Linked DNA regions of Alligator mississippiensis. The protein of the gene in region 1 purifies or fractionates together with the protein of each later gene. This does not show direct contact. Links are inferred from orthologs where the notes say so. Each region holds a gene or a part of one and is shown on either strand. Other genes may lie near its edges.

Region 1 (10,069 bases):
CAAGTTTTAATGCGTAACCAACAGCTTGAAATTAATCTGCATATCACTAACCAGGGGGTCTTTTTTCCACCTAAAGAAAAATTTCTCTCTCTTTCAAAACCAAACTTCACCCAAACCTCAACTAATTAAAAAACGTAGGTCCCTGTAATAAATTTATTAAGGAACAAAATGCTCCATTAAAAAGCATTCTGGCCTACCCACAATACTTTATTACTCCCCCACCCACAAAAAGAGAGGCCACACATACACACACCACTCAAAGAAGGAATTTGCTGCACCTATTTTGAAATATGAAGCAAGGCAGTCAGAGGTAGGACAGTGCCTTGCCTCCCAACTAAAACATCCCTCACAGTTAACCAGAACTCAGGCATTACACATTTCAACCTCCTAAAAAGGGAATCAGAGCAAGTTTTCTATGAAGTAAAGCAGATTTTAATTTTAGGTGAAGAAAAGTCTATTTAATTTACAAGAACCAATCTTTAAGGGCTGGCTCAACATGCCACCCCAGGTGGCTAGTGTTAGCACTACCCTCCCCCACCACTAAGCTAAACTGCCCATCACACAAGCGACATCAGTGCTGTTTGAATAATCAGATTGCAGCATGTACATTGCCCTAGTAGATACCAGCTGCTCTTGGATCACAGTAAGAGACTACCTAAAGAGTTCATCTGTAAAACATAACATGCAGATGTATTTATCACTCCTTACTGCATTTTTGTGCCTCAAGAATAGAATGAATATGAAGCGGTGATCATGACTAACAACACTGCATTCTTTTCAGAAGTATAATTAGCATTCAAAATTTTTACAATGCCTTCTCCAAGTTTTGAATTGAGTGACCTAAACCTCTAAATATTGCAACAGCCTTCCACAATTCATAAAGGTCTGAATGCAGAAATTCTACATTCCTTTCACATGCTCTTGAGATTTCAGAAGTCAGTCAAGAACCAACTTTTGGCTTATTAACTAGTTTGTACCTCCCCCACAACAGTTCTCCAAAACATGAACTAGGCCTCCCTCTTTCAATTTGTAGTCGCATGTCTTTTAATGCTTCAAGGACTGTCCTACAGCATCATCCTCTCACAGCAGGTATAAAGGTATTTTTTGCAGATGTGGGTGTGCCCACATATCCAAACCTCCCAACAAGGGTTGGAATGCAGTGACTCCTGGCCTAAGAATTTCATTTTGAATAACAAATCAAGCTCAGTTTACAATGATTGGTCTTCTGGACTCAATTCAGTTTTATAGCAGCCCTAAGTAACCACACTTTTTCACCCTCCCTACAACATAAGGATACAGAGGACCCCCACCCTTAATACATGGCCTCATTATCTGGGGATGAAGGGGGTAAAAGACTATATAAGAAAACTGTTTGTAAACATTAATATGCATATCCTGTTAAAAATGCATTTTTTTAAACTGGATTAATAAATTGAGTAGGAACTCCCCAGGCAGCAATGTGGGAGGTCAATCCAGTATGATGAATAATTTTGAAGTACTACACACATACTTCATAAGAACAGCAGCAAAAGTTACCTCATCTGACCAAACCTGTTAATAGTACACTTCTGCTAAAAGAAAGGCTTAACCAATACCCACGTAATTTTCTTTCCTGTGATATTCAGCTAAGAAAACCAAATCACACCACACCAGCAAGCTGGGCTCCATGGAAAACTGAATCTAGACTTTCTACATACCAACAAATTAGGTGGGCCTCTAATCACCACACAGAAGACTCCCCACAGAAATCTCATTACTAGCTCTATTTGCCATCAGCCTTTTAAATACATCAGGTTTTTTTTTAAAGGCATATTCCGAACACACAAAAATAAGTATCTTTCCAAGTTAGCTAACTAATTCAACATTTGAAGCCTTTACTTTTTACAAGATAGCTAGTCACTCTGGATATATAACCAGTAAGCAATGAGTGAAGGGAGGGGACATCCTAAATTGCTGAGTTGGCATAAGGGAAGTTCTGCACACTTTTGAAAGGAAAGCAACTTTTAACATAGAAGTTACTGAATTAATTTTCAACAGGCTTCTATCATGGATGGTACTTAAAAAAATACTGAATTTCTAAAATTTCAAACAGGTCCCACCTGAACTATTCCAAAAACATTCTTAACCACATTGCACTGATGAGAGATATTTATTAAATATGGCTTGCAGATTAAACAATACCAGGGGTTTACTAACTAATTATTTGGAAAAATGCAAATATAATTAAACATTGTAACCATGCAACATCTCTCAAAATGTTAACATTAAGTTCAGCATAACATTCCCTCCAGGGGACTACAGACATAAAATAAAGTATATTTTTAATAGGGTCAGCCCATAAAAATATGAGCACACACTATACCCACATGAGGAACATGTTTTTATTCTCCCCGCTGAACTCTATAAGAACAGGAAAACTATACATTTGAACACTAAACAATGATATAGAAAAGATTTTCTAAACATAATAATGTTTACTTTGGGAGCACAAAATCAATTTGTTTACAGTACTGTAAACATCAGTACACTTAATTATGTGTAGAGATTAATAAATGTCTGTTTACAATTTAATTGCCAGATTAAACTATAAAGACTGGAATGCAATTTTGAAATTGATCAATCCTTACATGTGCACTGCATTTTGATTTAAATCTAACAATATTTTAACCATACATAATACTTAAATCATTATATAGTGAAAGAGCTGAATGTATTCTATTGTAAACTGAAGTTAAACATGTCCTGCATGACAAACAATAAAGGCTACATACATGTTACTCTCCAAAGGAAAAAAAATGTCAAACTAAAAGGACTAATATGCCATACACACACATCTAAAAGATTTTGTTTCCTGCTAGCATTAGATCAACACAGTCCCACCACCATACTTTCTGAAGTTTCCCTTCAATGCTGAATAAAGATTTAACTTTTAAATTTTCAAAATCCCACGATTAGATTTCCAACAATAAAGCAACTATTACTTGCATCTTTTTAAATCAATTGATTAAAAAGATAGTATTTTCTAAATAAACGTGTACTTGTCAGACATGCCTTTTTAAGTGAAATAATTTAATCTCAGAAGTATGCCTGTCTGCGTAATGGAGGTCAGGAGCAAGCACGTGGAAAGTTTGATCTATTTTAGTATTACTCTCTAGAAACCTGGAGCCCACTACAATCTAAACATTTATGAAAGAGGCAGACTGAACTGCTATAGCCACTATAAAAGTGGTCCACTGATTTGCATTAAGAGTCTGAGTGTTGCTCCTTCACATTAGGCCCACGAAATTTCAAACTACTGAGCCCTGAAGCAATCATTTTGAAAAAAAAGAATTGTAAACACATATAAAGGATGCATATATCCTGGCTTCCCTGGGGAGACACCAGTTTCCTCCTCATGTCTGTAGATGCCAGATCAAAACATAACCAAAAAAAAAATCCCTTCTTAAATACAGATGAAGCTGATGCTACACAAGTAGCAAATACTGTGCATTCCAACATGGCAGAATCAAAGATTTGATACCAGCATATTTACAAGATGCTTTTTCTTGTTGGGAGCAAAGCTCGTGTGCTGTCCGTTATATGATTCAAAACATCCCATTCCATTTCCTGCTAACGCCCAACATTTAACTCTTCTCAGGGGCTTTACATTTAAAAATGGTAATAATCGTTTAATTTGATCACAACCCCCTCTTTCACAAAAAGCTTGCATTTTACTGCAGGCCAGTTAAAGAAGAGGCTCTGATTCTTACAATGTTCTTGATAGTAGAATGCTTTGGGGTTTTTGTCTGGTTTGGGGTTTTTTGGGAGAGGTGAGGAGCGGTGCAGCATGCATGCACATGTTTAAGCAAGCAGTTCATTTATCCACAAGGCAGGCAAACACAAACCCAAGATTTTTTGTGTTTGTTTTACACTGGGGGGATGGGGTTGGGTTTTTTTGCTCTGGTAGGCTAAGTGAGACCAAAAAGAAAAAAGAAAAGAAACAAGAAATTACCGTTGTCTCTTAGGGACTGAATGTTCAACTTCTATGAGTTTCCCATGCAGTTCCACTTTACCTGCAAAGGCAACAAAAGAAAATGGATTTTAGTGGGCCATTGGGGGTGGAGGGTCTTCCCCTTCCCCACCTCCTCCTAAACTGAATCGGTGGCACGAGAAGATACCACAGGAAATCGAGAGTGCAACATGTTAGCTCATTCACGAACAACTCCTGGAAGCAGCAGCATGGTGGCAAGCTACAACATACAGCAAGCTGGAAGGATGGACTTTTAAAGGGTTCCTGGAGCAAGAGCCTTGCCCGGAGAGACAAATGAAAGAGGCTGCTTGAGAGGGGGGTGCTGGGAGTGGGGGCCAGCCCTTTCTCAAAGGGATGTGAGAAAGGTTTGTGTGCCCATGTGTACGTGTGTGACACACACAGCTCCCCCTGAAGAGAGGATGAGGCCACTGGGGCTGAGGGAGAGGGAACAGGAGCGACTGGCAGCGGTGCAGGGGGGTGTGCAGCCGCTCGCTCCCCGCTCCGCCTCGCCTGCCCGGGCGAAAGGCCTCGGGGCGCCGTCCCCGTGGGCGGCAGGCAAGGGGCTTGCGAGGGGTCGAGGCGGCCCCACGCGCCCCGAGCGGCACCTCGCGCGGAAACGGGCCGGGCCGGGCCGGGCAGGGGGCGGCGGCCGCGGGAAGGAGCCAAAGGGAAAGCGAAATCAAGCCGAGCGCAGCGCAACGCCGCCGCGCCGCGCCGGGCCCGACCCCGACCGCGACCCTCCCGGCGCCGCTGCTTTCCCCGCCAAAGTTTCCGCGCGCCGGCTCCCTCACGGGGCACCGGCGCGGAGGCCGCCCCCCGCCCCCCCGCCGCGGGCTAGCCCGGCAGCCGCAGCGCGGAGGGAAGGAGGCGGCTGGGCCCAGGCGGCCGCGGGGGGAGGGGGGCTGCCTGTGGCGCCTCGCCCACCCCTGCCCGGGGCTCGCCGCTGCCCGCAGGCCCGGGGCCGCGTGGTGGGGAGGGGGGCGGCTCACCTGAAAGTGCCTCGATGGCCTTCATCGCCCAGCTCTCATCGGGGCAGTCCACGAAGGCGTAGCCCGCCTTGACGAGGAACGGGCCGGCGAGCGGGATCTTGGAGTCCTTAAAGAGGCTCTCGAGGTCTGGGGCGCCGACGCTCTCGCCCAGGTTGCCGATGTACAGCTTGTTCATTTTCCCGGCCGATACCCGGGCGCGGCGGCCAGTCCCGGCTCTGCTCGGGTCAGGGCTTGCTTGGGGTTTGTTGTCGTGTTGGGGTTTTTTGCGCGGGAGGGGGGGATTGCTTTTCTTTTTTTTTTTTTTTTTCGTTCTTTGCAACGAGAAATAATCACCGGGCGAGGAACCGCCACCAGCAGCAGCGCCGCCGGGGGCCGGGCCGGGCCGGGCCGGGCCGGGGGCGGGCGGGCGGGCGGGCGGGCGGCGGGGATGTGCAGTGCGATGGAGGCGAGGGAGAGAGAGCGAGCGAGCGAGGGGAGAGGGGAAAAAAGCCCGAGCTGCAGCCTCGTCCCTCCCACCCCCGCACCCCCCGGTTCCGAGCGTCTCTCTCGGGGGGTAAAAAAAAACCTCGCTGTAACCAAATCGGAGTCGCGGGGGCGGCTGGGCGCGGGCGGGTGCGCAGCCCGCCCCGGCAGCGGGATGGCGGCGCGGCGCGGCGCGGCTCGGCGAGGAGGAAGGAGCGGGGGAAACTACTTTTTTTGTCTCGCCCCCAGCCCCTCCGGGCCGCGGCGGCGGCGGGCGGGCTCTGGCGGTGTCACACGCCGCGCAGGCAGGCGCCGCCCCTCCGCCGGGGAGCCGTAGCGAGCCCCGGGGAGGAGCCGGGCCGGGCCGGGCCGGGCGGGAGAGGGAGAAAAAGGACTTGAATATTCCGGCTTTTTGAATGAGCCACGTGTTCAAACTACAAATCAGCGCCTCACGTGAGGGACCCGCGCCTCAAGCAGCGCCGCCGGAAGGCCGCCCGGGACAAGTCCGGAGCTGGCCGGCGGGGCCGGAGGTGGCCGCACCGGGCCCGACCGCGTGTCCCGGCGCCGCCGCGGCCGGGGGCTCGCCAACAATGCTGCGTTTTTAGGGCGCCCGCGCGCGCTCCCCCGGGGCGGGAGAGGGGCCGCGGGGCAGGAGGAGGAAGGGGCGAGAACACATGATAACGTCGGCGCATCACCCCCGGGTGGCGGTGACCCGTGCAGGCTGGCGCTGGGGGGGAGTTGGGGTGCGGGGACCAGGTGCCTGTTCCGGGCCGGGCCGGACCTGGGCTTCTCCGCCTGCGATTTCATGTTTGGTGGCTTTCTGGGCTCTCGCCTGCCATTGGCTGCGCGGGCAGCAGGGCTAGGGAGGCCAGGCGGGGAGGGTCTTCCCCGCCGGGAAAGAGCCCCCCCTCGTCCGGCCATGTCTCTTGACCTGGGGCCGAGCCTGGTGGGGACAAGGACAAAGGGGTGGAGGGGCAGTCGCGGGGACGAGGAAGAAGCGAGGGAGTGCTCGGGGGGGCAACGTGCTTCTGCCTGTGGCTCCTACCCGGGGGGGGATTGTGTTCTTCTTTCTTTGAGTCTAGTTTCATGGTGGATCCAAGCCGAGGACACGTGAAGAATGAGCAGCCCCGGCCCGCCTTCCCCGGGCGCACAAGCGGGAAGGCTGAGCTGGATCCCGTCCTCCGCCCCCCCGCCGGTTTATAAGGGCCCGCTCCTAATTCTCAGCGCTTGTGAGGAGCACAATGGTGGGGCTGTGGGGGGAGGGGTCTGGCTCTGTGGAGCCTTTCCCGGGCAAGCAAAATGTTGCCTGAAGATGAAGAAAGGAGACGGAAATGAAAGGCAGCACTGTATTGCATTTCATATAGCGATCTAGGAGGAGGGAGTTTGTTTTTGCCGTTTTGTTTAATGATTCAATACGCTGGAGTGAAAGGCTTCACTTATTCCGTGGCAGAGTCTTCTTGCGATCCCTTTTAATAGGTATTCCATGGAAAATAGTGAAGTCCATTAGTTAGCAATGAATGCATTTCCATATGTCCTGTATTTTATGTGGAAATGTGCAGTAAATGGGTATGCCTCAGTTTATCTGAGTGGGGGGGGGGGTTCCACCTAACTCCTACGAGCTGTATTAGTAAACAGGAGCCATTTAATTTCATTTGAAGAGATGTTGTTGATGCATGTTGACGAGTTCTTTTGTTATGTGTACTTTGGCCGCTCCAGTCTGCATGTGCGGTTACACATGGCTCAGGGAGAGCCCCGTGTAACAGGACAGAAAAAAGCCACGTGTAACAAAACGGTAGTCAAAGATTTTTAGCATAAAGTGCTGTCTGATTCAGGGAGGCGTTTCTGAATAGAAGGAGCCCTGAACCAGAGGGGAGACGGTCACCACCAATGGGGACTGTTGCATTTCAGCAATTGTGAAGAAGCATGCTCTCTTCATGAGCCTGTGCTGCTTGGCTTCATTTATCACCAAAATAAAAATGATCATTTAAATCCACTGTATAGTTTTGTCATCTTAATTCTTATTGACCTTCAGTGACAATTACTTTTGCAATTGACAAAATGTGCATTTGTGTTCCCACTGTTTACAACTCAGCCATTGTAGAAAATAAGCAAAAAGTTCCTGGGTGTAGATAGATTTTTTTTTTCCTTCATTCAACATGACCAGTTTCCACCTGCATCTGACCTTCTTAAAGGACCTTGTACTTCATATGAGCCTGTAAAATCCACCTGAAACAGAACTATTGTTGTGTTCAGTATGTGCATGAGGGGAACATGCCATCACCACGCTTGGATTCTTAGTCCAAGCTGCAGACTGCTTCAGTAGTATTACTTTGATCTGTACTAACTTGCGATTTAATTTGCATGTGCTCATGTTTACATGTGTGGTCTGTACAGCACTGTGCAGATGTTCTCTCATTAAACTGTTAAATCGAGTATATTGTGAATTTTAAGTAATCTTCTAGTTGACCATTCTGTTATGCTGTATATTTAAAGAGAGAGAGTGGGAATTCATATACAAACATGGATCAGTGGTTCAACATTAAAAAAAAATCTGAAAGTCCAATACTGGGGGAGATAACCCCAGCCACTTTATGCTGAAAGTGTCTTTGTAATGTGGCAAAGTGTCTTGTATAGAACTCCACTATATTATTTTATTTGTAATGTAAAAAGTTGTTTAACAAAATGCTTTAAAAAGTAAATCCAGAATGTTAATGTAAAACTTGGTTTACACTGTATGACAAAAGGCTATTTTTAATAGCATCTACAAATTTAATTTGTATCAATGTGGTACTCAGAAGGCTTGGGCAATCATTGTTTTGCTAGGAAACTGTTACAATTCGACATAACTGATTTTTTGGTAAGCATCTACACATTTTTATAGTTAACTAGATACTTAGCAAACCTCTTGAGGAAAAAAAACCATTGATCCAGGTTCCCAACTTTTAAAAAGAACTAGCTGTCACCTTTTTAATGTCTCTTAAAATTTCTAAAGCAAAATTTGAGCTTAATCCTCTTGGTTAAATAATTTTACCTCAAAATGAGGAAAAGATTATACCCTTATCCTGTTAACGGTTGTGATTTCCTTTGGAAAAAAAAAACTTTTTAATTTTAACTTCAAAATAAGCAAATGATACCTTTTTACTAGGTTTTAATGACCTTGCAAAAAGCCTAATCGTTTATCTAAAACTTCCCCTGCCCCCCGCCTAAAACTAATTTAACGTTAATGAATAAAACCTCTCTAAAAAGACTTTCTTCAGTTTTCTAACAAATGTTAGATTGGTAGCTGTTACATTAACCATCAACTGTAAATAACTATTCTTGTTCTGTGGTAAAGATTATTTTTAAGTGATTTAAAAAAAAAGTATTTTAAGTGAGAATTACAGTTAGGAAAATTATTTAACCTAATGGACTGGTTGATCAGTGTAAGTGATGATTAAGACGGAAAAGGAGGACGAATGTGTTTGATTATTTTTTCCCTATTACCATAAAAAAGCAACAACCAAAATATAGAAATTATAACATCTCCAGTAGGGTACAAAGGTGATATTTTGTAGGCTGCTTTGGGGCCCTGCCTCTGGTCTACTGACCTCTGAACTATTTAGAAAGAGTTCAGCTTGCAGGAGAGAAACGTGAGGGTAGGATCTAGGTCTGCCATGTCTGTATGACCTGGATGAAAAATATGCACTGCACTACTTCCAGCAATGCAACAATGAGGGGGAAGGGGTGAGTAATGCAAGGAGTTGAAAGGTCGCTGAGCAGAGCTCTTCACTGCGTTGGGGGAAAGTGGGGGGGGGGAAGAGTGCATGCAAGCAGAAGGGGAAGGAGGTGGAAATCATTAGACTGAATCTACCAGTGATATTATCAAATGTTGGGAATATCCTTCCATTGGTCAGCCGCCGAGCGCGTCCCCATCCTCCCCTCCGCCTTCCCGGCACCCTCACTTCCCTGCCCAGCCCCTGCCTGTGCCTCGGCCCGAGCCTGAAGCTTCCTCGAGCTTGCAGAAAGCTGCAGCTGGCTGGAGCAGGGATGCGGAACCCATTCCCGCATGAAGTTAACACGCAGGAGGCGGCGGCGATGCCGCCGCCCACCCACATGGCACTTAAAAAAAATCAGACACGCTCCCACCGCGTCACTCGAAAGACAGATGGCGAGAAGAGCCAGGATGTGGAGGGCAGGAGGAAGGGGGGGGTATAACTCGGCGGGGTAAACAACAGCCCCCTCCCGGGGGAGGGTGGCAGGAGCCAATGCCAGCGCCGAGGCAGGCGGCGGAGCGCGCCCAAGCCCGGGGCCAGGGGAGCCGCCCCCGCCCGCACAAGGCGACGGAGCCGAGCGCGGGGTCCACGCCCGCCTGCGCGCGGCCGTAGTAATCGTAGTAAGCGGGCACGCCGCTCTGTGAGTGAGTGAGGGAGGGAGGGAGCCAGCGCCGCCTCCCATTGGCTCCGTGCTGCACCAACCAGCGCCCGCAGCCTCGTTTGGGTCTCAGCCACGGGCCTCCTCATTGGCTCGCGCCTCTTCTCATTCATTGGCCTCCCGCGCGGTCCCTGCGGTGGCGGCGTTTATGGCGCGAAACTCCCCCCCCCCCCCCAGCCGGGGCCTGCCCGTGCCCCTG
Region 2 (10,069 bases), on another chromosome or scaffold:
TAGATTTATTCTCTTGTATAGCTTCTGTATAGCTCTTGTATAGCTCTTGTATAGCTTCTGACCAAACAGGTTGTTGCACATGAAAGCTCATGCCTCCCTGAACCAGTTACTCTCTAAGGCAACCTTCTACCTGACTTCAGACTAACAGTTAAATGCTTCTCTTGCATCAGACATGGAAACAATAAAAAAGCCTCAAGACAAACCAGTTGCGGCAAAGTATTGTAGCTCCTATCAGATGGGGACAGAATTTTTATTGAGCTTACCTCTCAGGGTGGCATTTCAATGATGTTGTCTTTCTGTAGCCCTGACTGAACGCCTTCATACAGTGTAGGTCATCAGGTTAGATCACGCTGACACACTTTACCTGAGGTGACCATGGAAACCATAGAGAAACTTCAAACCTCATACCTGCCTTTCGAAAAAGAAAGGCTGATAGGAAGACATTATGCTCTTCTACAGTGGCAATGCATAGGGGTGCATGGGGGTGCACGGGCACCCCCTGAGAGTGCCGGTGCACCCCCTGACCGGCCACACTCGCTGATGACTCTAAAACTCATGCTAAACTTGGGCCTACTCACAAAAGTTAAAATACAGAATAATAATGCTAACTGCATATTGCAGGAGGATGTGAGTTCATGGCTAGGCCAGCTGAGAAGGAATAATGAAGTATCTCTTCCAGCTTATCTTCCTATATTCAGGATGATTTCAGGCAGACTTAGTTGTCTGGTGTGTAACTATATGAAATGTCTATCCTTGATTAATTAGTATGGTAAATATTTCTTTTGCAACTAACTCGTGTTTATGTGCAGGAAGAGACATTCTCCATATGTGATAGATGTCTCCTCCTGATTTAGTATGTTTTTCCTGGCTGTTAATCAGTTTCTTGATATGTTCCAAACTGGATAACCTCTTGTAACTGAAGAAGGTAATTCATTCAGATTAGAAATTTCTGATAACCAGTAATAAGCAGGTTTTTCCTGTCAATTACTGCTTGGGACTCTCTCTTGATTTACACGACTAAAAGAATACTTTGAAGATGCTAAACTAAGGGTATAAAAAGGCAGTAAAACAGCAAACAGCACGTGCGCTCCGAGAGTGAGAAATCTACTTGCTTGAGAAGTTGTAGAGAAACAGACTGCCTCCTTCTCGCACGTTTGGCGAGAAATCATCACGTTATAGCTAATTATGGGACTCTGATTTGGTTTGGGCTCACTTGACTTGATTTTAAATACTTGTAGTAAATAAAGCCTTTCTGTCACTCATCAAACGTGGTGTCGTGTCAATCCCTAGTTTGGGCTAGTTCGGAATCCTAGATTTTTCTGTGCTAAAACTCGCTGCTTAGGCAACGGGCAGGGAGTTCTGGCAGCCCCCCTGCAAGCGCTGGCTGGGGATCAGAGTGCCACTGCGCTCCCGGAAGCAGCTGCAACCACTCCCGGAAGCGGCCACAGCCACTTCCACAAGCAGCTGCAGCGATCAGCTGTCTTGTGATGGGCCACAGGGGGATCCCCCCTGCCCCTCTGGCTGGCAGGATTGGCCATGGGGGACCCCCTCCCCCCAGTTGCTGACTGGTCGCTGGAGGGGCATGTGCCACCCCTGACTTAGGCGGCACCAGTTGCCCATGCTCTTCTAGTTTGCTTTTGGATGGATTCCAACATCATGGTACTAATCTTTATCAAAGAAGGATTCAGGTGCCTTCAAACTAAAAAGAGTGTGTGTAATTTACCGTGTTCTTTGGCTGGACGTTTATGCTTCTCAACACGACTGGCTGTTTTGGCACCCTTTTGGGAGGACAGCTTGGCGTGCCATTTCTAGCCTACAAGGGTACTGAACGTTCTCTTCTGCCCCGACTTGATATTTCAAATTCTAGTAAGGGAGGGTGGTCTCGTACCCTTTAACATTGGCCCTCAGCCAGACCTGCTGCCATCCCTTGGGGCTGCGCCTCTCCTACACCTCACCTAGTGCTAACCCAACATTGAAGCTCCTTGTCCAATAGGTTGAGGCAAACAGCCTTCTGAAGCGTTTCTAGCTGTAAAACTCAAAACAAAACAGAGTGTCCCAAAACAAAACTATAAATGAGCAGTCCTTCTGCAACAGTAAAGCATATTATGCCTTTGTCCATGATGTCCCCATTCCGTGGGGTAGTAAAGGGGCTGAAAAAACAGTTACTATGGCTCAGTGCCCCATTTACTCATGATTCTAATGTTCTCTTATGCTTTCTCTTTTAGGCTCCTTGTCATCCCAGATCCAGTCGTCTAGTCTTGTCTGCCAGGCCAGCACTTCAAGAAAGTTCTCTGGCTTCTCCAAGCCAGCATTTGATAGGGCTTCCACCAATCGCCCCTGCTGGGGCATGCTGTGCCTGCGCTTCTTTCTCTCCCGCCCCAGGAAGTCACTTCCAATTCCCCTGGGGTTTTCCTCCAGGCTGTTCTTGTCTCCCAGCTCAGGTTTCACCCACTCAATCGGCATCGGCATACGCTCATAAAGTGTGCCCATGCTGGTTCATCTGGTGAAAATTTGACCCCTCATTGCATGAGGTACCAAATACAGGCAAACCCCACTTAGTGCTCTTAATTACTTCCCAAAAAAACCAGTGTTAAGCAAAAGGAGCATTAAGTGAAACCTAAAGTATTTGAGAATCCAAGGTGGTGACTGCAAGTGTTTTTAATGACCTAAGATGGTGACTGCGAGCATTACAGCGAAACTTGCTGAGCGCTAAGTGAAATCAGGTATCAATTTAAAATGAGCATTCTAGCACTAAGTGAAACAGCATTCAGCAGGCTTTGCCTTTAACAATGTTTCAAAATGTAGTGTCTTTTATAACTTGTCTTGGCTGAACTCCTAGCCTGTGGCTGTTTTCAGAATGGGAAGGGGGGAAAGGGAGCAGGCATCAGTCAGGGTTTTTTTCAGCCCCCACACCCAAGGCCAGGCAGGTATATTAAAACCCCAGCTACGCAGAGGCTCCAATTCACCCACCCCACTATTCAGCGGGGCCTGGGGAGCCCCTGGAAGGAGCTCCTTCCCTGCCTTTCCCCCCTCCCATTCTGAAACCAGTAAGCACGGGCAGAGAGCCTGGCTGTTGCTATGGGAACCTGGCTGCGACTCCCCCAGCTAGATTCTTCTCCCCCTGGAACCAACAACAGCGCACTTCTGTCTGGTCGGGGTAACGCTGTAACTGAGCGCTTTGCAGAACAGGCTCAAATTACAGCTGGGAGCTGCACCTCTGTCTGAACCCCAAGGTGCTTATGCCCGATTTCAGCTAACAGCCGCCGTTGGGTAGTTGTAAACCACTGTCTGAGCAGGGTGTAGCTCCTAAACGAGCCTGAGCGTCTCCGGAGCGAGACCCCAAACCAGCCACAGCCCCGCGAACGCGCTCGCGGAGAAGAACCCGCAGGGCGGGGGGGAAGACTTTTTACTGGGCACCCGGGGGCTCTAGCCACCCGCTGTCGCTGGTTGGCTTATTTCCCCGTCCAACAAGCAGTCGCCAAGGCCTATTGGCCGGCAGGGTCCCGCCCCCCGCCGTGGCTCGAGGCGGCCCGCGCGCGCGACCCGCGTCTCACGTCACGCGAGCGGAAGCCGGTGGCCGCCGTTGAGGTTCGGCGGGAAGTGAGCGCTCCGCCGACGTCACAATGAGGGCGGCGTGGATTGGGCAAAGGCGGTGACGGGGGCTCATGCCCTGGCAGACAAGGGTGAGACAATAAGGGAGACGCGCCGAGCGGCCACACGCCAGCCCGCCTGCAGCCCGCGCCGCGCCCCTCCCCCCGCTGACGTCGCCGCCCGGCTCTGCCCGCGCGCCGCGGCCCGGCCCGGCCCGGCCCGGCCCGGCCCCGCTGGCACAGACCCGCCCGCCGGCGGCTCCGGGGAACGCCCGCCCCGCACCGAGACCTGCGCCAGGTGAGCGCGGCCGCGCCGGGCCGGGGCCGCCCGGCGAAGCCGGCGGGCTGCGTGTACATGCCAGCGTGCGGGGGGGCACTTCCGGCTAACGGACGGGGCGGGGCTCGCGCCGCTTTTGTTCCCAGTCCCTCGCGGCCGGGTCTAACCGGCCCTTGTTCCCGCGCCCAGCGGCTTCCAGGTCTCCCTTCCCTTCTTCTTCGGTTTGGGCGCAGGCGCCCACGGCCCCGGGAGTGGCGGCAGCAGCCCCAAGCCCGGTGCCATGGGCGCCCGCTCCTAAACCGGGCCGGGGAAGGAGATGTTGGCGTTGGGCCGGGCTGAGGCCCCCCCACCCACTCCCCGGCCTGGGCCTGCCTTGTGCCCACCCGCAGGCCCAGCTGCCCTTGGTGGAGGACCCTGTCCCGTTCCCCGCCCCCCACCCAGTCTGGAGGAGCTTCCTGGCAGCTCAGCTCCTTGCATAGCTTTATTCCCCTTAAGTTGCCCGGAGCAGGAAGGAGGCCCCTGTGGTTCCAGGCTGCTAGGCAAGGACCCACCCCTTGCCCCAGGCCAAGCTGGCAGCTGGTTAGTCTTTTTCCTTCTTGCTCTCAGTCCCACTTCAAATCTTGGGCTTGGTTCTGAGCGGCTCCTAACGGGCAAGTGACAAACTGGAGGACTTGGGGAGGAGAGTGAAATTCCAGGGGACTGCTGCTCCTGCCTTGAGGGCAAAAATGTGTTCAATGTGGTGGCTGTATAAAGACTCTGAAGTACAAAGGGGATGGGCTTGGGGGGGGGGGGGGACAGGAAGGTGTAAACATCTCAGGGAAGGATTATGTTGCAAGAAAGGAAACACATTGGTTGATATGGAGGAGAAAAAGTGAATGGAATCACTAAGAAAGTATTTGGCATGCAGATAAGATGTGGGTAGAGATTGGCTGATACAGTGAAATTTATGAGCCGAGTCCAGAGAGTGCAGCCCAAGAGCAGTTCCAGAATCGTCTTTCCATTGCATTGACAGGCTCATTTTTTTTCAGCAGGGCTTTCCCTGCAAACCTGAGTGGTGCAGTCTTCCACCTGGGTTTGAACCTTTCTTTTAGGGTACATGCATTGAGCCCTGCCAATAATATGTGGCTATGTCTAGGCTGCAGTTAGAAAGATCTTAGCTAGCTTTAATGTAGCCAGCTTGGGTATTAGATGTCTAGCCTCAGCAGCATGGAGCTCTGTTACAGGGTAAATCAGCACTTGCTGAGATTCATGCTGTTCTGGCCAGACTGTTATCAGTATCTGAATTAGGTTGAGTGTATATCTTTAGCTATATTGCAGTCACTTTTTTAACTGTAGTCTAGAAAAGCCCTTTATTTCTAACAGCAAAACTTAGGGGGTAGGCAAAAATTTTCTGCCAGGGTCTTTATCATTGTAAGGATGATTGTTATGGAGGAGAGCTGCCATTCTCTCTCTCTCTGCTTTGCTGAGCAGCTACTGTAATGAGATTGGGAATTCTGACTCCAGTATTGTGTAAGGCCTTAAAATTGGTGTCCTCTGTGTATTACTCCAAATGTCCTGTAGTATTGACATTGGTGGATACAGATTCTCCCTAGCAACCCAGTACAAGTTCAGAAGCTGTCAGCTTCCTGATATTTTCCTTCAGTGAATTTTCTATTGATTTATTTATCCTCTATCAGTCCTCGGGTATAAAACCTTTGTGTGTACCCGGATGAAGTTCCAGTTATTTATGAAATATCACGTACTTTTATATGAGGTCTTGTGACAGTTAAAATGCAGTTCCTTGATTAGGAGGTGGTTAAACTTTTGTGCTCTCTGCATCATATCTGAATCCCATTAAAAAAGAAAGGAATTGCCAGTTCCATAAACATGAAAATATATGCAGTCCCATTGACTTAGGTTGGGACTGCTTATGTGTGTCTTTGAGACCTAGTCAATTTGTGTCTTTAGTGATTCCCACTAAAGGTCTCATGTCCAACAGATGTGCAGATTTATCAAACTGCTCCTCTCTGCAACAACCAGCTAAAGTAAAGATAGGTGCTTTCAAGCTTGCTTTGGAGGGTGACCAACCTCAGGCTAATTTGGATCAAGCAGTGGAAGTAAGTTCTAAAATGAAGGCCTCTTATTAGTACAGTATTCTCCAGCTCTGTCTTTAAATGAAGATCCCATTTGTTTGTTTCCTTTGCATGGTATGGAAGAGGGGGACACTACTGAGTAAACAGATCCTCAGCTAATTAGCGTCCTGGTAGTTAAAACTTAAATTGCCACTTGAAAAAAGAAAAGTGGGCAACTTGGGTAACAATATTGGGATCATGTATCCTTGACAAAGGTATGCAGCTTATTAAGTAGGCTGTCACTTACATTTTTTTTCTCAGGTAAATTCAACCTCTTTGTTCTTAAGAGTTTTGCTGACAAAACCTGCCTTAACGCCATCATTGTGCTCAGTATTTTCTTCATAGAAACAAAGGACATGATCTTCCTGTTGCCACCTTTTGCCCAAGTGTTCAGGCTCATCAGCCTCTTAATGTCTTTGTCCCAAGATGTTATGTTTTTGACTTTGAGTTGACCTTCTATGAGCCACTTTCAAAATGTTTCTCTGTATTGCAGTAATATGCTTATTGGTGGATGCTTTGTTTTACTTGGGGTATTACCTAAGGCTTAGTACCTTTGGCAATGTCTAAAATGTACAACTATTGTAGAGTGCTTAGATTAGATCACTATTTTTATTTGTTCATATAGAAGGTTTATTTGTCACTTAATAAATTTATGCTTTATGGTTTTGTAATGCCACAATTTAATAATGCAAGCACATCAACCTCATGGTGATCACCAATGTACATTACTACTGCCTCATCCCAAGTATGATATCACAATCTTCTACTTATACACAACTGGGAAAATGAGAAAGGAGGATGTAGTATTAATTTGTCTTAAAGGGAACATTTTGTGTTACGAAGAGTTAATCAAATGAGAGACTTGGATCCATTGGACACTACACGAACACAGAGGCTGCGCTGACATGCAGCCTTCTATGTCTCATGTATCAGCGTCCCTGCACTTAAAAATGGGGGCGCTTTATCTAAAGCTCATTGAGCTTCAGTTCAAGCACCCCCACTGCCATTTTTAAGCGTGGGGACATTTTAATTAAAGCAGCTCTTGGATCTACTCTAATGAAAGCGCTGTCCCCTTCCCACCCCCAGAGCACATGTAAAAATGCCCATCTGTTTTGGCTAGGAAGCGCTTAGCAAATTAGTATTGCAGTTTGGAGTTCTTAAACACAGCTCTTCACTTCATGGTTCCATGTGGACATGTATATTTTAATTTTTAATGGAATTAAAAAGTAACACGTTACAAAATTATATAGAAAAATAGTACTTGTGCTGTGTAACTTGATTCATTGTACTAGTTGAATATTGACTTCATGGCGCGCACATTGCTCAAAGATGCCAACTATTCAAATAGAACATAACACAACTGAAGCACTTGAGATTAACTTCCAGTGTAGGTGGCCTTGTCACAATATTCTAGTTTAGGGGGTTTTGCTTCATTTGGTAGAGTACTAAATTCCATTTTCATCTATTATAATAGTCTGGGTTATAAATGTGTGTGTAAAAGTCTCTCTTGGAGGGCTAGTCAACCTCAGTAGGATCTTGGTACAGATTGTGGTAGAATATGGCCACGATGTAGTAACCATGTTCAGTTAGCCCTATCACTTATTTGACCTGTACGCTTTTAGGACTGGTGCTGTTCCTGTCCTTTGTATTTTCCTTCTCAACTGCATTATTCTCTCTGATTGCACATAATCTTGTACTTGCAGTAACTTCCCTTAAAAAAAAAAAAAAAAAAAAAAAAAAAAAGGATGGGGGAAATTTGCATAGTTGGAATATTATGCCTCATGAGTCTATCGAGTTGGCTCCTGGCAGGTTGTATGTTAGTGCTCTTCTAGAATTTTTATTCCCTGCTTGTTTATATAACTATGCAACAAGTTTGGCAAACGCAGAATAAATGTTCAAGGCACTCAGCAATACTGTCATATCCTTAAGGAACACAAGTCTTCTCTGCAAAAATAAATACGTCACAACTGTAGCAGTGCCATCTAATTGTGAATTTTGTCTAGGGAAGTTGGAGATTTTACATTCGCTTGTCCCGTAGACTTGTTGGAATATGGTAATTGGCTGTGCTGGATCAAAAGTGCTGCTAAGAACATGGAAATGTTCTGTGGGCATACATGAATTTGGAATACTAGTCTTGTGATGGTCTGAGGTAAAATGGAAATCACTTCATGGATTTGTAACATACTGTGGTTGCAGTCTCATTTGTGAAATGTTGCCTCACCGTTTTGGGGTTTTTTTGCTTGTTTTTTGGTGGGTTGGGGATTGTTTTATATTGGTATCTTTTACGATAGTTCTCTTGTAAAGAAAGAACCTATGTTTTCTTTCTCTCGGTGCTCAAGTTTTTTAAATTAAATTCTCCTTTTCTGTAAAGTCAAAAGTACCACAGGACATTGAAGTGCCTTGAGGCATCAAACCCTATTAAGATGCCTTTCCAAGTGACCCTGTGATTTAGTTTCTCTGCTGGGTCATGCAGTGGTGTTGAAGTGATGTAGGCTCCCCATGTTGCCCTATGAATTTTCACTCCCTCACTTGTCTGCATAGCTAGAAATACTGTAAAGTAATACCCTTATAAATTGTTGGATTGTGGTAGCTCTTAAGACAACTTGTATTTAATGTTAATAGTTTGATTTAGCATCTTATTCTGCTTGATTATATTTGCATGTCTTTCCCAAAATCATACAAGCACATTCAAATTTTGGAGAATGGCCCCAGTAAAAAGAGATGCCATTTTTATTAGCTTGCACAGGGATATTTTATCTTAACATCCAGATGGATCAATGGAGGCAACTGCTTAAGTACAGCAGTGGTCAGAAAAAAAAGTCATTAAAGGTGGGAAAGAGAGATGGGGAACCACACTAAAATATTCTAAGGTCATTATGTTAAAGCAGTGATTCTTTGTTGCAGAGATGTGTGGCAGAAAATTTTCCAAAACAGAAAATTTTCTGGAAAAACTTCCAGTGCTTAATTTTTCCATGGGAAATTTTACATCTCTAAAAATTAATTGTTTTATAAAATTCATTAGTAATAATGAATGGATGCCAATACAGTATTAGACAAGCTTGGCAATTTCAAAGTTGTAATTAATGTTTTCAGGTGATTATCCCTAGGAAGTGTGTGAGAGAGTACATATATGTTTTATTGGTTTGTAAACAGGAGGGTAAATGCACTTGTGCAGTAATCCAAACCAAAAATCAGGTTATGAATTCACTTAATTGGCTGTGCAGGTCAAATCAAAGCCAAATGAATGCACCGCTAAGCTTGTTTCTATTTCTCAAAATCTCTTGCTTCTGGAGAATCAGTCAGAAGCACAACTAGTGAAGAAGATGCAGTGTGATGATAAGTTGCCCTTGCCCATAGACTCATTGGTAAAGCCATCCTTTAGAGAATGAGAATGTGGTTCAAGTTGTTCTGAATCAGATTTGCCTCAATCTGATTCTGAAATTAAACGAATGAGTAGTGCAAGTGATTCTCCAGCTAGTGACAGTGAAACTGGAGGTGCTGCAATGACCTCAGTGGAAGAGAGTTCAACTCTGTTGAAGTAGATGAGTGGACAACCACGGCATATCATGCACAGTTCTTTTGGGTGTGCTAAAATTAGTGTGTTAACAGTTTTCAGTGCCTTAGGGTTTTTTCCTTAAATTTTAAACAAACAATGTAAGGGAAATACATGATATTGTATATTGTCTTTACATTTTTACAAGTATTCCAATAAAAATAATTTCTTTCCACATAAAGCTTTGAATTTGTTTGAATATAACATTTATACCATATTAAGTGTGCTGTATTTAATTTTTTTTCCTAATCAAATGTTTCAGTTCAAATACTTGTGGCTATTGGGACATAGAATTAACATGGGGGGTTGTTTTTTTTAGTTTTGTTTACTAAATATAAGTCAAATAAATTATGTTCTGATTTAGCATGTTATTTAGGGCATTGGTAAATTTTTTCAATTCAAAATTTTTCAGAAAACCCACATCACTGCTTAGTTTTGTATTTAAAAACTGCCAGCTCTAGTCATTCTTCTAAGAACCCATCCACATAGTAGGTTTGGAGAGTAACAATAGTTATAAGTAGGGGTGCACCAATAAAAA
Region 3 (10,069 bases), about 1.9 Mb from region 1:
CATTTCAGCTTCTGCCTAGCAATTCTGTAGTATGCTAAACACACCAAAAGGTTTCTTCTCTTATTTTTCTTTTTTCAAAACTCTTCATTTAAATAAAATACTATTAATCTGAACCCCCCAAAATATGAAGAAAAAAAAGAATAAAAATACAAACATGCCTGGCTTACCAGCTCCCCCTCTGAAGTTACTTCCTGGTCCTGGACCAAAGTTACCACCACCTCCACGTGCATCACCAAAGCCAAAGTTACCTAGAATGATTTTGAATTATCTTAAGTATTCATTTCCTGAAAAGAGGACCTAAAATCATAAAACAATAAACTTCCATACCTCCTCTCCCACTCCTAGAATTCTGAACTTCTTGCATTTCTTGTCTAGATAAAGCTTTTCTTACTTCTGCATTGTGACCATTGATGGTGTGGTATTTCTGCACTGTGATCACAAAACATGAAAAATACATTCAGTACATATTACTTCTAGGGTTAAAAACAAGAAAAGTCAACAGCCAAATACAAACAGTTTTCTCATACCAATACCAACCAAGATTGTAGATATTCTTCTATTACTAGGATAGGAAGGAGGACATTTTTTTTTTAAAGTAGGATTAAAAATATATATATTATACACAGTCACACAAGTTCCCCTTATTAACTGAAGGCCTGAACTAACACTTTGATCCCACCAACCTTTATACACGGAAGTATGATGAAACCCGAACTTACATAAATATTTACTGCAAAAGCACCATTAGCTGTGATATAGTTATAATACAGCTATACTTACAAACTATTTTATCCACTGGATCATGGTCATCAAATGTAACAAAGCCAAAGCCTCTCTTTTTACCAGACTGCCTGTCAGTTATTATTTCAATAGTGTCAATTTTTCCATACTCCTCAAAGTAGTCTCTAAGGTGGTGTTCCTCAGTATCTTCCTTAATTCCACCAACAAAAAGTTTTTTCACAGTAACATGGGCACCAGGTTTTCCAGATTCCTAGAAAGTATTACAAGTTTTTTTAAATTAATAAAATGGAAGAGGAAATTGTGCACATGTACATTTTACAAATGTTTGGAAGTCAATTTAAAGTCTGATTAATTTTAAAAAGTGAATACCAATATTTTAAGTATCTCACCCCTCATCTGCAATATTACTGCCAGGGTTAGGGATTTTTTTTGTTTTGTTTTTATTTTTAAAATGCTTGTAATCCCTCCATTTGCTATGTGAAAAATCTAAAGAGACATGACAAACTTAGAAAAAAAAGAGATATTTTTACCCTAACATTTTTTTTTAAATCAATCTTAGGTTTTACTTGTAAAGATATTGATGATTAAGTTTTTCAAACGAAAGTATGCTTTTTAAATAGACTGCATTCTTTATTTTCAGACCATGGTTTTCACATTCTACATATCACCTAAGATTATTAGAATCTGACCTGTACTGACTTTAAGGAAGCCATGATCCCACTCTTTTTCAGATTTGGCAAAACATGAAGTTCCCCAAAATATACTTCTCTGTTCAGAGACGGAGTCAGCACTGGGGATATATCTGATTTGTAAACCCTCACTATAGGAGCATTCACTTAACTTGAAATGGCTCCTGTCAAGCAAGTCTTTAATTCATGTTAATAAAAATCAACAACTACACCTGCACATAGTACTTTAAGAAGTTTAAAGCAGTGTTAACAAGTAAAAATTTAAGAAGCGGGTCACATTTCCTCTAGACTCAACCATAGCCTTTCAACTACAAGAAATTTAGGAGTTTACTATGCTTAAATTTAAAAATAAGTATACCCTAACCAAAATGTTAATACAGACTTCCACATAACCAAAAGCTGCCAAGATTCTGCTTACCTCTCTGGCCACGGCTCGCTTAGGTTCAACCACCCTTCCATCAATTGTATGAGGCCTGGCAGCCATTGCTGCATCAACTTCAGCCATGGAGGAGAACGTTACAAAACCAAATCCCCTTGATCGTTTACTGGCTGGATCTCTCATCACCTATTAAAGACGGTTAATTTTTTTTATTTTTCCACTAACAAGTTTTTGTATAACTTGTGATAGTAACATGTCTTTTCTAATTTATATTTTTCTTGATTTATATAAAAAACGTGTTATATCATTTTGCACTACAAACACTTTGAAACAGTAAATTTTCATAATAAAGAGCAATTACTATCAATGGCTCATTCACATACTTAAGATGTACATCACCAATTTTTTTTTAAAGTTTTTTTTTAAAGTTTTTTTAAGTTTTTTAAAGATCTTATCCCACTTGCTTCCATTTGCCCTCATTAAAATAAATTAAAGGAATATGTTATCAATTAAACAGAACCTAATTAAACAGGACTTATTACACTTCAACATACATAATACACAGTTAAGAGGCAGTACTGATGCCAAGTGTCAGCTGCATGGATTAAGTAAGCACTGACCACAAAACATGTACCTGCAGGAAGGATAAAGCTGAAATATTTAACCTAACTCTCAAAAATAAGTCTACAGTTCTTGAAATTTGGTCAGGAGATGGCATACCATTTTTACAAAATCTTTAAGCCCGTATTATTCACCTGTTACTAATACATAAAACTTACCACACAGTCTGTAAGCTTTCCCCATTGTTCGTAGTAGTTTCTCAGACTTTCTTCTGTTGTTTCAAAGCTTAAGCCACCAATGAACAGTTTGCGAAACTGTTCCTTTTCCCTCTATTTTGGAGAACAAGATAACATTCATGTCATTTCAAGTTTTCCTTACAGTATAGTTAAACTAAACTAGTATTGTAAGACTAAATCATCTCAAACTAATTCAGAACTTTCAATGAACATGCTTTTTCAACTTTAGGCTGTGTTTTATTTTGTGTTTTTTAAAATACCATACTGCTTATTTGATCTTTCAAGTTTTGTCTCCTCTGGAATGAGTTCACCTTCACAATTAACTTTCTAAGATTTATCAACTTCCCTATACCTCCCAAAATTAGTTTAACTAATTTTGAGTTCTTATACAAGAGGCTCCCTTAACTGTCCTTCCTACAATATTTTTTTATTTTTGAAAAACAGTATGCAAGATTCAAATAAGCAGAATGTTTATTTTGCCAGATCAGATTAAAACAAGTCTGTGCTGAATGTTCCAACACACATTTTAATTAAAAAGTAATAGATAAGACATGTCTCCAAACACAACTACAAGCCGTTAAGCTATTTCTTTTATCAATTCATTTAAAAGTAGTATCAAGCTAGCACTTATGGATAGGGACCTACTCAAATCGCAGAATCACTGGGGGACACAGGGACTTACTAAAAAAAATGCTGGCAACCCTGCCTTGCAACCCATGGCTACTGGGAGAGGGGGGAGAACTGGGAGGCCCAGTAACAAAAAGGGGCAGCCAAGCTAGCAGTGATTGGCTGAGAGGGCTGCGTTGCATGTGGCCCTCCCTACCCTTCTCCACCAACCAGCAGTGAGGGGGTGGGGCCCCTTGGCCAATCAGGGGCTTCAGGGAGCCCACTCCGCAGAGACCATGTAAATGGCAGTCAGCACCATGAAATCACCTGTCCTGCCACCTACATTTTGGAAAGTCCCTACTTATGGAATGTACCTGAAGGGCTAATCCAGCACTAATAAAATGGTGCAAGTTCTCCCCTACCTATTCTCTCCAACCCTAAAAAAAATTAAAAAAATAAAAAAGAACTAGTCTAAAGAGAGACTTGCCAATTTTGTCTATAAATGTGTTTGTAACCTGCTTTAAAATGATTATCACTTCAACTTATTTTCCAATAAACTATTCAGACTAATAAAAGCTTTTTGATGCTGCCTAGGCAGGATTTCAACTAGTGTGAGACATGGAAGAAGGACCACTGAAAGCAATGCCAAAACAGCTTTTGATAATGACTTCAAACCAAGACTATAATTTCAGATTGCAGAAATTGCACTGTTCATTTTTCTAAGTTACAGCCTTACCCTGTACTTCTTTAGAACTGTCTGCAGAGCCTGAGTTGTGTAGTACTCAGACTTTTTGAAAAAACTGAATCATGTATTGCAAACATGGGCCCCAATAAACCCCTAGAAAACTATTTAGAAAAAATGAATACTGCATCTGCCAACAGTGTAATAACAGCATCACATACATCTTCTACTATGCTTTTTAATCAAGATTCAAACAGTTTAATAGAACATCAGCATCATTTTCTGCATTTGAAAAGTTGGAAAATTAGCCCAAGAAGCCAAGTGCATTAACCACTGGGAAAAAAAAGCCTAAAGGCCTAATTCTAACAGTCAACTAGAATACCTGCACTATTACAACATAAAATAATTGCAAACACGTAGATTTTAATGAATTTTTCACCAACCACCCTTTCACATTACAAAACTTTAAATGGAACTGAAGAAAGGAAGAGGACAATTTAAAGCAAGTACTAATAAAACTTAGATCAAATCACTATCATTTGGCATGCCAACAGACTAATTCTATAGGTATTTTATGTTACTGTAACAAAAAAACAAAAAAACAAAACCAGAGCAATTTCAACTCTGTAACCAATACCTACTAGAAAAAGTTAGGCATTAAGTCACTTAAAAAAGTGAAATGAATAAAATTACACTACTGGTTCTCAAACAAGCCTGTGGATCATTGGTGGTGCAGGACACTTGGTAAGGTTTGCTTGTAGGCTACAACTTCCTTACAAGACAACTACAAATAAATTTACTTTCTCCAATATAAGCAATTGCCATATGGGAATAATACAACTAGGAAAGGAGGGTTGGAGCATGTAGCCCCACATGGCCTAAGGCAGTGCCCCCCAACCTTTTTGCCCCACAGCACATTTACCTGAATAAAAAAAGCACAAACAGCACACTGGATGGGGACAGGGGAAGCTGTGTGCAGCCAGCCGGATGGCATTTTGGGCTGGAGCCATGCTCCCCGTGTCCACAGCATCAGTGGGCAGGGGGTGTGGCTCCACACCCATGTGCCACGGTTGGGAAATGCTGATCTAAGGGAGTGATTTTCAACCACAGTACGTGGCCTCGTGGCATGCCTTGACATCCTTTCAAGGGTACTATACAATGTTAGCACTGTTAGGTTTCCAAACATAAGTCACAAGATACACCCAGAGATTTCAAATAGAAATCCATAGTTGTGGTGTCTCCAAATTCTTTACAACAAATAAAACTGCTCTATTTTTCAGTAACCAAAAAAGTAGTGAATATTACTACTTTTAAAAATAGAGCTGACATTTTTTGAGGCGTTCCATGAGTCTGTCCAAGAGCGCTTTTGGTTTACCTTGGGGTATCTTGAATCTAAAAAGGATGAGAACCACTAGTCTAAGAAATGTGAGGAGCAAGAGTTTTGGTGATGTCTTTTACTGGACCAACTATATAATGGGGGGAGGGAGGAGAGAGAAGGGGAATGTAAGACAAGCTTTCAGGCAGCCATTGGGATTACCAAGGGAAAAGACTACTATAATTAATCTCCATATTAAATGATGGTTCACATTACTGTTTAATATATCATTGCATGCATGCGTGCGTATACACATGCATTTAAGTGAAGTCTCAGGCAAGCAGTCGGCCTCGTGTAGGATATGAACTCTGATGACAACGTACAATTAGAGGGAGATAGGTAGGCAAGTCATTCTGAAGTCAAGCAGAAACGCAGGGTAGACTAACCAAATCAGAAATGCACATGCTCACATCACTTCATGAGGTAAGCTCAGGCTCATGGAAGTTTGTGCATCTCTAATTTAGTTAGCCTACAAATGATCTTTGTTACTCAGCCTTATGCTTAAGTGTGTTACTTCTTGTTCCTCTGAGGATTTACCTTTACTGGACAGCCACCAAATATGTTGCATGCATTGGGATGTTTAACACATTCATTACAATGTTTTTGCCTTAGCAAAGACAGAGCCTTAGGACTAAGACTATTTCCCCTGAGTTTTAGGGAGTGTGAATGTTAGCTTACAAGTCAGAATTAAACCAACCCACTATACTGAAAACTGCAGTTTTACACTTGGCAAAGCAAAATGTCTGCACCTCACTTTTACCTGCTTGCTGATGAAATCTGGATGGGGGGGGGGGAGAGGAAGGAAACTGTTTCAAAATGCCAAAAGAAAAGCCGGTTGAGCATCTGTATCCTGTGCAAGGGAAGAGCTTATCAAGTTACTGGGAGCCTCCTTGTTCTGCCCTAGTACACTAAGATAAAACAAATTCGTCTCAACTGCTGCAAGAGCAAAGCCACCAAAAAATGGCGGCTAGAAATTTGAGGGGCGGGGGAGAAGATTCCGCATCCCGGCGCTGAACGCCCGCCAAAACGGCGCGCGGTCGGGAGCTGCGGCGCAGAGGCCGCTCCGAGCAATGCGCGGCTGCGCGGGCAGAGCCGGCGCCTCCTGCCCCTGCGCCGGAGCGCGCTGCCTCCAGGGCCCGAGCACATCGCGCTCCAGGTGGCAGCCATGTGGCAGCGCCGGGAGCCGGGGCCGCTCGGCTGCGGAGAAGGAAAATGGCGCCCACAAGCCGCCGCCTGCCGGGGAAGCGATGCGGCAGGAGAAAAGCCTCCCTCGAGAAGCCGCGCGCCGCCCTCCGGGGCCCGGCTGCACCCGCAGCCGGCTGAGGAAACCGCAGCCCCCCTCCCCCCCAACGCCGCCTCTCACCAGCTTGGCCGCGGCGCTGCCCTGGCTCACGGCCCGCCTCCCCATCCTGGCGCGGAGCCGCTAGCCCTCCTCACACACGAGCCTATCTGCGCGCCGCCATTTTCTCCCTCCGCCTCGTTACCGCCATTAAAAGCCGGGGCACCGCGGCCGGCAGTCGCCAGGGGCACGCGGGCCCTCCCCCCGCTGTCGTTCGGTTCAACGGTCCCGGCAATCGACCCGCCCCTCCCCCGCCTCCCTCCCCCCGCGCCAGCCCCAACCGCCTTCGGCGCTTCCAGAACTTTCCTCCTCTAACTGTCGCTCAGGCCCGGGCCGGCTCTAGCGACCCACGGGGGGGGGGGGGAAGGAGGGGATGTGGGGGTGCCGCGACCCCTTCCCCCCGGCCGAGCCCCGCGCGCCGCCAGGCACGTACCATATTCTTCATGGTGCGGGCGGCCCCGGGTGCGAGCGCACGCGACAGGCCCAGTAATGGCTGCCTCAGCCGTTACGCAATTTGAAATTCGGGTTCGCGGTCAACCTGTTTTCACCTCACGCCAGCCTGCCCTGCCCTGCCCTGCCCAAAGCGCGCGGCTCCCGAGAGGGGGGAAGAGACTGGGCCGTGGCACCGAGCTCCCCTTTGTGTTTTACTGTCCGCAGAAAAGGAAGGAAAAAAAAACATCGGCTCCGGGAGCAATGGCCGCCTCCGGAATGAGCCGAAGCGTCCGTCGTCGTCGAGCTCTTCTGCTTCGGCGCCTGACGGAAAAAGTCGAAACGGCGGCGGCCGCTGGGCCGAGGAAGTTCGGCTCTTTCCGGAAGGAGCGAGTCCGGGACCCGGCAAGCTCACGCTCCGCTTCGGCCATTTCCGGAAAGGGAATCGTGAGGCGCCGCGTGGCCGACCGGAGCCGAAGCGCCTCGGCTCAGCTCGGCGGAGGCTGCTCCCTCTTCCAGCTTTCTGGGAAGGGCCGAAGCCGCTCGGGGACAAACCCTCGCGGCCCACTCCTCGGTTCCCGGGCCCGGCCCTTCCCAGTCCGCCCGCCTCAGGGCGAACCACTAAGAGCGGATTTCTTCCCTCAGTGCTCCCGCCCTGCGCCATTCTCCTAGCCCGGTTCCTTCGCCCTGTGCTGCCCGGCCCAGCCCCGCTCCCTCCCGGCCGTGGCTGCGGGAGCCGCCGCCGCCATGTTGCGTCCCCGCTGGCGACTCACCCAGTCGCTCTCCCGGTCCCCGCGAGGCATCTTCTTCCGCCTGGGCGCGCGGCGAGGTTGGGTCCCCGGCGCTGCGCTAGGCTCCCGTGGGAGAGACGTCTTGGCCCGCTGCTACGCTGGCGACCGCGCGGCACTTGGGGGGAGGGGAAGGCGGCAGCTCCGGCGCGCGCGGCGGCGGCGGCAGCAGCAGCGATATCCTGCGCTGTGGCCCCGTCGCCGGCGCAGCAGCAGCGGCGGTGGCAACTCCCCTCACGCAGGCACGCAGCGCCCCGCCCCGCTCCGCTCGTGGCCCCGCCCCGCTCGCGCCCGGCCTCCCGCCTGCTCGCCCTCCCGCCCTCCCTCCTGCCGCGGATGCCGCTGCGCTCAGTGCGCGCAGGGAGCGAGGAGGCGACGGGGACGCCGCGGAGCCGCCGTGAAGTCTGTATCCTTCTCCCTTCCTCTCGTTCTCGTCCCCCGCTCCGCCGCTCTCGGCGCCGCTGCAGCCCCCACGGGGCGCGGGCAGGAGCGGCCGAGGAGGGGCCCCGGCGGGGGAGCCGCAGGGCACGGGGCGGCCGTGTGCGGCAGACAAAGCGCGCTGGCCGGCGCCGGGGCCCGCGCTGCGGCCGGGGAGGGGATGGGGGACGTGGCGATGCCCGCGGGCCCGGAGGAGGCCGCCGCCGGGGAGCTTCGGCCTTGCGTGAGGCCGCCCCGGGGCGCCCGCTCGCCCGGGACCCACCCAGCGCAGGCCCGTGGCGCAGCCCCGCCCCCCCCCTCCCGGGCCTCGGCAACGGGCCTTTGTTCCCCCTCCCCTCCTCTGCTTGGGCGGGCCGGGCCGGGCTGTGCCGCGCGGGGCCAGGGCCCGGGATCCTCGCGCTGCCTGGGCTCCCGGGGCGGCGGGGCTGAGTCGAAGGGGATTTTCTGGCCTTCTCTGGAGCTTTATCCATCGCCTTTTTCAGTGAAATCGGGGCCGTTTTAGAATTTCGGGGTGGGGGGGGTCCCTGAAGAAGTGGCCAGGCTGAGGCCCAACATGGAGGACGAGGGGGGAGGGGAGGTGGGGGATGGCCTGGGTGCAGTCAAACAATACATTTATCTTTAGGCTTAAATATTTCACTCCTCCATAGGCCCTGTCAGCATCCCAGTCCTAATGCTTGCAAACTTCAAGATCAGGTGGCAGCCTTGGGGTTGGATGTGTCTTGACTGTTATATAGAAGGATCCCGGGGGACTCTGGCTACTTGTTTCACTATTGCAGAACTGCTGCCAGCAAAAAATCTCTCTTTTGCAACTTGCAAATGCTTGCAGTTATGTCTTCTGGTTAACTGCTCCAATCTGAGTTCTTATGATTCTGGGTTCAAGCATATAAGGCATCCTGGTGGTCCTCAGCTTCCTCTGAAACATCCCTGTGCCTCAGAACGTCCTGTAAAAAGGACATTTTTTAACCACGGGTGCAAGTGCAGGTTTTATGTCACTAGTTTCACCATGTGGTCTTGGGTTACACCAGACAAAGTAACAACCTAGTTTTGTTCTGGATGAATCCACACTTGAATGTCATATACAGTGAACACATGGGGGTTGGAAAAAGGACCATGCTTGTATTGAGATGCCTTTCTCTGAGTAATGTAAACTTCCTTTTAATTGTCATGCATTTTTCTAGTAAAAGCTCTGCAAGTCTGCAATAAAAATGGCCTCCAATAAAACTACATTGGTAAGTTCATGCACACCTAAAATATTTAAGGATTTAACCAACATATTTTTTTTTCAAAATTATAACTTGGCATCTCTATGTAAAAGATACATCCACATCTCCCCTCCCCAGCATTATTCTGACTAAAATCTCAGATCCAGAAAGTAAGGCTATGAGAAAGGACATTGACTTTGGCTTTAAAAATCTGCCATCTAATGAGATGCATTCAATTTTTTTTAAAGGAGGGCTCTACTCCATTTCAGCTGTCCAGTTGTCAACTAGAATAATAGTTAACCATTACCAGAAAACACTGAATTTTTTTAGCCTCCTTTCATCACACCATATCATCCATTGCACATAAAAATAGCACTTAATGTTTCACTAGGAGTTTAGAACAAACTGCTGAAATCAAGCAATTTCTGAAATTAAATACCAATACAGAAAGGTAAGGTGATGGGGTATAGCTAGGGTTGCCACTGAAATTGTTTAATTGAACAACAAATTTGCGTTTCATAACTGTAGAGGTTACCAAATGTCTACTTCACCTGGACAGTTTTCATGGTGGAATCGTTTGTCAAATGATGGACCACAAACTTGG

What was found.
Region 2: the proteins of IGF2BP3 (region 1) and G3BP2 purify together in Homo sapiens (affinity purification with mass spectrometry; 3 studies listed by BioGRID and IntAct, with this or other methods). This does not show direct contact. The link is inferred for Alligator mississippiensis from reciprocal best matches to the Homo sapiens genes IGF2BP3 and G3BP2.
Region 3: the proteins of IGF2BP3 (region 1) and HNRNPA2B1 purify together in Homo sapiens (affinity purification with mass spectrometry; 4 studies listed by BioGRID and IntAct, with this or other methods). This does not show direct contact. The link is inferred for Alligator mississippiensis from reciprocal best matches to the Homo sapiens genes IGF2BP3 and HNRNPA2B1.

The regions. Positions count from the first base shown.
Region 1 is NC_081828.1:158,689,987-158,700,055, reverse strand, and holds the start of IGF2BP3 (insulin-like growth factor 2 mRNA-binding protein 3), read right to left. Parts: upstream 5,723-10,069; 5' UTR 5,174-5,722; coding exon 4,999-5,173; intron 4,053-4,998; coding exon 3,992-4,052; intron 1-3,991. UniProt on the Homo sapiens protein: RNA-binding factor that may recruit target transcripts to cytoplasmic protein-RNA complexes (mRNPs). This transcript 'caging' into mRNPs allows mRNA transport and transient storage.
Region 2 is NC_081825.1:164,554,122-164,564,190, forward strand, and holds the start of G3BP2 (ras GTPase-activating protein-binding protein 2), read left to right. Parts: upstream 1-3,582; 5' UTR 3,583-3,665; coding exon 3,666-3,683; intron 3,684-3,692; exon of another isoform or gene 3,693-3,888; intron 3,889-10,069.
Region 3 is NC_081828.1:156,759,114-156,769,182, reverse strand, and holds the start of HNRNPA2B1 (heterogeneous nuclear ribonucleoproteins A2/B1), read right to left. Parts: upstream 6,734-10,069; 5' UTR 6,678-6,733; coding exon 6,633-6,677; intron 2,700-6,632; coding exon 2,589-2,699; intron 1,996-2,588; coding exon 1,849-1,995; intron 992-1,848; coding exon 781-991; intron 430-780; coding exon 328-429; intron 249-327; coding exon 159-248; intron 1-158. Other genes in the region: CBX3 (chromobox protein homolog 3), read left to right, coding at 8,162-8,227. UniProt on the Homo sapiens protein: Heterogeneous nuclear ribonucleoprotein (hnRNP) that associates with nascent pre-mRNAs, packaging them into hnRNP particles.